Linked DNA regions of Arabidopsis thaliana. The protein of the gene in region 2 interacts with the protein of the main gene of each other region in a pairwise test. Each region holds a gene or a part of one and is shown on either strand. Other genes may lie near its edges.

Region 1 (3,760 bases), on a different chromosome or scaffold from region 2:
TTGTTTCTCTATTCACAACACACTTGTTCTGAATAGGTTCAACAGATTCCTCTGTGTCGTCATCCGAACTTATCTCAGGCTCAACGATATCAGGAGGAGTATCGTTGATGTTTAGAGTGACAGAGAGAGAGAAAATAGGTTTACAAAGATCTTTCTCCTTTGGTACGACTTCCTGAAAAGTTGATCCTTCAGCTTCGTCCTAAGATGCATAAACACATTAGTTGCAAACAGATAGTTAACAAAGGAGAACAATAGTTATACAAAGACTCATATACATACTTACCAATCCATTGTCTTCAGGTTCGTTGTTCAGGTCAAATAGATTCTTAATTTTAGGCTCCTTAGGAGGCAGTTCGGGTTCTGGTTTCGAATCAATCTTCTTCGGGAGTGAAGCTTTTCTCCCACGTTTCTGGAACGTGATTATCGGTTTTCTAGTGCTTTGAAGAGCTAGAACGGTCTCCCTATGTTTCTCCTCCACAACCACATTAGGTGGTTCCACAACCACATTGGCTGGTTCCAATGGAGTATCAGGTGAGGATGATACTCTAGATGAAGAGACCCGCAGTGAAGTTCGAGATTTTCTCTTCTTTTTCGAAGATTTCACAGACGCTGCAACAGTTTTAGGTCCTGCCTTCTTTAAGCTTTCCATCATTGCTCGGTAGATTTTCAGCTTCAAATCCTGCCAAGTGCAATCCGACCTGCACTTATATAGATACCTCAAATCACATAAAAGCATAAAGATAGATGCAAATGCTAAGAATCAAACAAGTTCATACCGAAGTTTCTCTAGAGGAAAAACACCGAGGTTAACGTTGCAGACTGGACAAGCGTTCACTCTCTCATTTATGAACTTGTTACGAATGCAGCTCCTGCAAACTGTTACCACAAATTCCACAAGTCCCAATTCATATAAAGACACAAGATATACCAATACTTAAAGCCAGGACTAGAAACATAACAAGCTAAAGAAACAGCAACTTTGAAATCACAAAGACATAAACAGACACTGAATCATCCACTTACAAAAAAAAACAGTCCTTATCTGCTTACCTTAATATTTACACAGATACATGTTGAAACACACACAACAACACCAAAAAGCTAAACAAAACATCGGTTTCAACTTCCAAGTTTCAGAATCAATCTGATATAATCTCTAGTCTACACTAATTAATATAACCAATAAACAGAGAGATAGTCACAAACAAAAAATCAGAATCTAAATCACAAAGATAAAGGAAAAAACAATCGAAGGGTTACACTTACAGGTGTGGAGACACTCGGAGATTGTGGTGGCATCCTTAAACGGATTAGTGCAGATTGGACAAGCAAGGCATGGCTTAACCTCCTTACTAAGCACCTTTGTTAACATCTTTCTCTCCGATTCCCAAACTCAACAAATCGATAAGATTTATTGATTATATAGCTTCTTCGTTCACGTAACACAACATGGTGCATGAACGAAGAAGAAGACAAACCCACAAAAAAAAGTGTCTAGCTTTATTGTTGGTTTTCTCAGAGAGAATCGATTGTTGAAAAGATTGGATTTTGGTCTCTCAAGTTTCGCTCTCTCTGTCTCTCTCAGAGAAAAAAAAAATCTGTGTAAGAAGAGGTTTTGATTTTGGAAGAGTTTGCTTTTAAGTATTTTTAGAGAGGGTTGGTTTTAAAACTATGAATAATTAGAGAGGGTCAAAGTGACAGAAAGCTAAACTTCGGTGGCTCACAAAGAAAATATATTATAGTTTTTATGCCAATGATTACATGAGTGATGCATTAGGTTTAATTTATATTTAACAATTTATTGCAAAGTTTTTCAAATATAGAGTTACAAATTTGTTCATAAAAGGTCTACATTGTATATATATTTTTATATTTATTTTTCAGGCTCTTTAGTTTTCTTTTTGTTAACTTATAATCATTATGTTTTGGCCGTTACTAATTTATAAGGAAATTACATTTTTTCTTACGTAAGCAATTACGTATTTAACAAATAAAAATTTAGATTTTTTAACTATTTAAGTAGTATAGAATTAAATGAGTATTTCTTACTTAACATCTCTAAAGATTTTTGTAAATTTCTATGTAGGTTTTGTTCAATATCGGGAAAAATATCTACGTGTCAAAAACTTTCAATCTTACTAAAACATTTACAACATTTTCTTACGTCACCAATTACGTATTTAACAAATGAAAATTTAGATTTTTTACTATTTAAAATTTAATTAAATGCTTATCCTTTGACTTAAAATCTTTAAATATTTTGTAAATTTCTATGTACGTTTTGTTCAATTTCGAGAAAAATATCTACATGTAGTTTACGTGTTCAAAATTTTTAAATTCTTCTATAAAATTTACATCTTTTTGACGTCAGCAATTACGTATTTAACAAATGAAATTTTAGATTTCTTACTATGTAAGTAAAATTAAATTAAATGCGTATTTCTGACTTAAAATCTCTAAATACACTGTAAATTTCTTTCTATGTTTGTTCAATTTCAAGAAAAATATCCGCATGTAATATACTTGTCAAAATTCCAAATCTTTCTAAACAATTTCATGTATATACATTGAATTTCATATTGGACCATACCAAATTTCTGTATTATGCGAGATATACTGTTTAATTTATATTTTTCCTAAACTGATGCTACATGTGTAAAAATGATCTCATATATTATTTGACGAGTTAGAGAGAATATTTATAAATATTTCCTACATGTCTTTACAAGAATACAGTTTTAGGAATTGGTTTTTGTTTTTACGTAAAAATAATGTTTAAGCTACTTTTATTAGTGTTTTGAAATGTGTAGTACAAGAACAATGTCTCTTGGAAAATATTTCTGAATCTCCTTAATGAATTTTATGATAAGATTTTATAGAATTTACATTAGTCCTGTATAAATTCACATTAAATGTATTATAGACAAAACATTGGTATATAAAGAATACTACGTGAAAATATTTGTGAATCCTTTTTGTGAAGTGTTTGATATATGAGGAGATATTTCATGTCTAAAATCTAATTTATCATAAAACAAAAATAGTGCAATGTAGATTTTCAAAAAAAAGAAAAACATTTTCACCTATCTTTTGTTCTTATTTTGTGTGTCAACATATTCCCTTCGCTTTATTTTCTTAAGTGTAAATAAAAGGGCCTTCCTGGAAAGTAAACTATAATAAACGAACCTCTAAAAGATGTAAACTAGGCCTTGCATATTATGGCCTCATGAGGCTTTTGGGTTTGTACTAGTTTGGATTTATTTGTAAAGTGTCATCATGTATCAAATTTTGAATTCCTATGGCCACTCTCTTAGACATTGCAAGAATTGAATGGTCGTACGAAATTAAGAAAACAGATATTTAAGTCAAAAAAATAAATCTTTGGAATGAAACTTCACGTACATGATAATGATTGTTAATATGCTGATTATATATATATTGAACTCAGAAACTTAAAGTCTAGTACAAAAACAGAAACAGAAATAAAAGAGTCCAAACTCCCATATATAGCAGTTCAAATATCATAATAACATAAACATTTCGAATTTGTGGTTTTAATTTAGTAAACAATTGGACATGCTACTATAATTTCTTAAACTGCTTTTTCAAAACTAAACACGTATTATCTCCAGAGTCCAGATCATTTGAATATTTATTGTTTGTGTAATCTGGGTCTTTTCTGTTTGATATATTATTTGCATTTAGCATTGTTTTGGAAATCAAATCATTAAGATAGTATAGTTGTTAATTAAATTTATTA
Region 2 (3,760 bases):
ATCTAGCTTGGCGTGTGGATTTACATTTGTGTCTGTTGGATTTTAAGTAACAGCAAGATGAGATAGTGAATTAGGATAGTATAAGCTAAGTAAGCAATCAAGTATTCATCTTTTTTTTTTTGGTTTGATTTGGTTGTAGTGTAGAGTGTCTTTGTTTCTTTTAGTTTTAAAGCTGTTGGTTTCTTGTGTGTTTTAATAGATTATCAACATTTGAACTCCCTCGCATTGTAGAACTCACAGAGGAAAGAGTAAGGAAGCAAAGGACTCATTTTTTTTATGATTGTTGTTTTGTTTGCAGCTTATAATGCTACTGTGGAGTTATTTCTCTGTTGTTGTGACGGACCCTGGTGGTGTTCCAACGGGTTGGAGGCCAGAATTAGACATAGAGAAAAGCGAGGGAAACCAAGCTTTGATTGGAGAAGCTTCGGTTGGAGATTCCTCGTCTCATGGTGTAAGATATTGTAGAAAGTGCAATCAATATAAACCGCCTCGTTCTCACCATTGTTCAGTCTGTAAGTCTCTTCAATGAGTGATTCTTTTCTTTGAATCCGGTATATGTGTTTTTTAGTAGTGAAAAAGTTGTCATATTGGGTTTTCAGGTGGAAGATGCATACTAAAGATGGACCATCACTGTGTTTGGGTGGTGAATTGTGTTGGTGCAAATAACTACAAATCATTTCTCCTATTCTTGGTATGTCAACTTATCATAGCATCGCTGAACGAAGTTGTTTTTGATATGTTCTGTTCATTAATGTTGCCATGATCATAATCCATTCCCAATATCTCAAAAATGCAGTTTTACACATTTCTTGAGACAACGGTGGTTGCAGTATCACTATTGCCAATTTTCCTCGTATTCTTCAGCGATGGAGATGGTGATATAACCGTATCACCAGGAAGCCTAGCAGCCAGCTTTGTTGCATTTGGTGAGTTCAAAGATATAGAAATCTCAGTTTCCGTTTTTGTTTCAGAACACCTTAACGTTACCATCTGATTCAAAAACTTCACTCTCTTGCTTTCCAGTATTGAACATAGCATTTGCCCTAAGTGTCCTAGGCTTCCTAATAATGCACATAATGTTGGTCGCTCGTAACACCACAACTATTGAGGTAAAGCAACAACTCTCACTTGGTTTTGCTCTTAACTTGGGTTCTCTCAGGAATCTCCATGTCAATAAACTCACTGACCAAACTAATGGTTTCTTTAATCTCAGGCGTATGAGAAGCATACAGTGAACTGGCCATACAACGTTGGTCGTAAGACAAACTTTGAACAGGTTCGCTCTCCATCTTCTTTGTTTCACTCGTTCTTCAGTGACTGATTCGTTTCCCCGCTACTTAGATAATATCTTTGACATCGAACACAATGAAAGCTTTAAAAAGTTTGGTCTCTATTCCTTTGTTGAATCAGGTTTTTGGAAGTGATAAAATGTATTGGTTCGTGCCATTGTACACGGAAGACGATAAGAAGAAGTTGCCAGCACTTGGAGGGTTAGACTTTACGAGCAGGTCGGAGTCCGAGACAGAGCCGCTTCAGTCTCTATGACCTTACAAACTTGAAATTTTTGGAAGTGTGTCTTCTGCTTTGTGTATGTATCAATCAAATATTATATCAAACATTGTCTTGTGTATTATAAAGATTAGTGCCTATTGTGGAATTTGTATCTTTTTATTTCGTGAAAAGAAATTTCTCAAACTTCTTAAATATACCATTTTCACATTTGCTTAAATATACCATTTTCATTTTTTCACTATTGATAATAATAACATGTTATTTATCATAAAAAATAAAAAAATCACGACACGTGAATGATGTACTGTAACTATCAAAGATTTGACGTACCACATACTTTCTGTATGTTTTTGATCGAATCAAAAATAATTATTTTTGTCCTTTTTTGTTTTATTGTTATTTTATAATGTAATACTTTTACTAAAATAATTTTTTTTAAAAACTAAATTTCTGGTCTATATAATTTTGGCCAAATATGTACATATTTAAAATCCAGAGTCAACCATTTAACAAACACTTGGAAATTTAATTAATTATTATGCCCTGTTTAGTAGAAAATCCATTAAAAATTACAGAAATGGTCTGCGTGTCGCATTGAACCAATCATATCTCGACATCTGTAAATACAGTTGGAGAAGATTTTTTCTTCTTCTGCTGGCCAAAAAAAAACATTGCATTAAAAAGGGTTCAAAGAAAAATTCTCAAATTCTCTAACAAAGAGCTCTGAGATTTTTGGAAATCTGAATCGTTGTTCGAGGTATGAACTTTTGGATCACTCTCCTTGAATCTGCTCTTTGATTCGATTTCGTACTTGAATTTCGCAATTTTGGAGTTTTCTCTCGCTTCGTTATACTGATCGTTTAGGGCTTGAAATTGAAGGTTTAATGTTACCATTTCCGGCAATGAACTTGAAGAAGTCTCGATCGGAAAACTCATCAGTTGCTTCATCTGGAAGTAAGATTGAGGAGCAGACTGAGAAATCAGCTGAACCAACAACCATTAAGGTAAACCTCACTAAACCTAAACCCGGTTTCAATTTTGCTTTGTGGTCTCTCTTTACCACACAGATCTTATCATTGAATTCTATCTCTTAATTAGGGTTTTAGTTGAGAATCTTAAGGTTTTTTTTCAACCAGTTTCGAAGACTTAGTTACTAGTGTTATTTGACGAACTGATGCAGACATAAAGGTTATAACTTTATTTCTCGTTGTGTCTTTGGCTGATCAGTTATGTATAAAATTTAATCAATATTTATGCTATTTAAGGTTTCGCAGTGACCCTTTTCTTCAAATTTGGTTTTTGATTCTGCATGTTCTCAGTATCACTCTTTTGGTGGTGTCCCTGTTTTGACTTTTGTGTTTCTCTACGCATGTTTTCTCATCTTGCTATATATTAAACGATTTGTAGTATGATTCTGTTGATCCAAGTAGCTTGTGAGTGACTGTTCTTCTTTTCACCGAGATTCCATATTTGTATTGTGCAGGTGCAGAAAAAAGCCGGTACTCCAGGGAGGTCGATAGATGTCTTTGCTGTGCAGTGTGAGAAGTGCATGAAGTGGAGGAAGATTGATACTCAAGATGAGTATGAAGATATCAGAAGTAGAGTACAAGAGGACCCGTTTTTTTGCAAGACGAAAGAAGGTGTGTCCTGTGAAGATGTTGGAGATCTAAACTATGATTCCTCCAGAACATGGGTCATCGACAAGCCTGGCTTGCCGAGGACACCAAGAGGGTTCAAAAGGAGCTTAATTCTGAGAAAGGATTACTCGAAAATGGATGCGTACTACATAACTCCTACTGGGAAGAAGCTCAAGTCTCGTAATGAAATCGCAGCCTTCATCGATGCCAATCAGGATTACAAGTATGCACTGCTTGGAGATTTCAATTTCACAGTCCCAAAGGTGATGGAAGAGACGGTTCCTAGTGGGATATTATCTGACAGGACCCCCAAGCCATCAAGGAAAGTTACAATTGATTGAGCTACATAGCGCTTCCCAGCTTCTTATGGTGTTGAAGTTGTTATTGGAGTCAGTTTTAGGTTTCTATCTGGTTTAGTCTTTTAAGGGTGTCGGACTTCTTACTGTAGAATGTTTCTTAAACTCATCTCTTTGACTCTGATTGGATCTTTATTTTCTAATGAAGGATTATCTTTTCTTCTCTTTTTGTTATGTCACAAGTCACAACTACATGAATCGCTCTGGTTTTCACTCAGTGTGTACAAACAAACACGACAAAGTATATTCAAGCAG

The links. Proteins that work in one complex are often made in the same cells at the same time.
Region 1: the proteins of MBD1 (region 2) and AT3G23060 interact in a two-hybrid assay, tested with the Arabidopsis thaliana proteins (one large-scale study listed by BioGRID).

The regions. Positions count from the first base shown.
Region 1 is NC_003074.8:8,198,480-8,202,239, reverse strand, and holds the start of AT3G23060 (RING/U-box superfamily protein), read right to left. Parts: upstream 1,605-3,760; 5' UTR 1,373-1,604; coding exon 1,267-1,372; intron 877-1,266; coding exon 777-876; intron 699-776; coding exon 284-698; intron 200-283; coding exon 1-199.
Region 2 is NC_003075.7:11,947,151-11,950,910, reverse strand, and holds MBD1 (methyl-CPG-binding domain 1), read left to right. Parts: upstream 1-2,106; 5' UTR 2,107-2,269; intron 2,270-2,391; 5' UTR 2,392-2,396; coding exon 2,397-2,516; intron 2,517-2,995; coding exon 2,996-3,490; 3' UTR 3,491-3,701; downstream 3,702-3,760. Other genes in the region: AT4G22750 (DHHC-type zinc finger protein), read left to right, coding at 299-512, 600-691, 797-926, 1,024-1,109, 1,214-1,276, 1,411-1,545. UniProt on the Arabidopsis thaliana protein: Probable transcriptional regulator.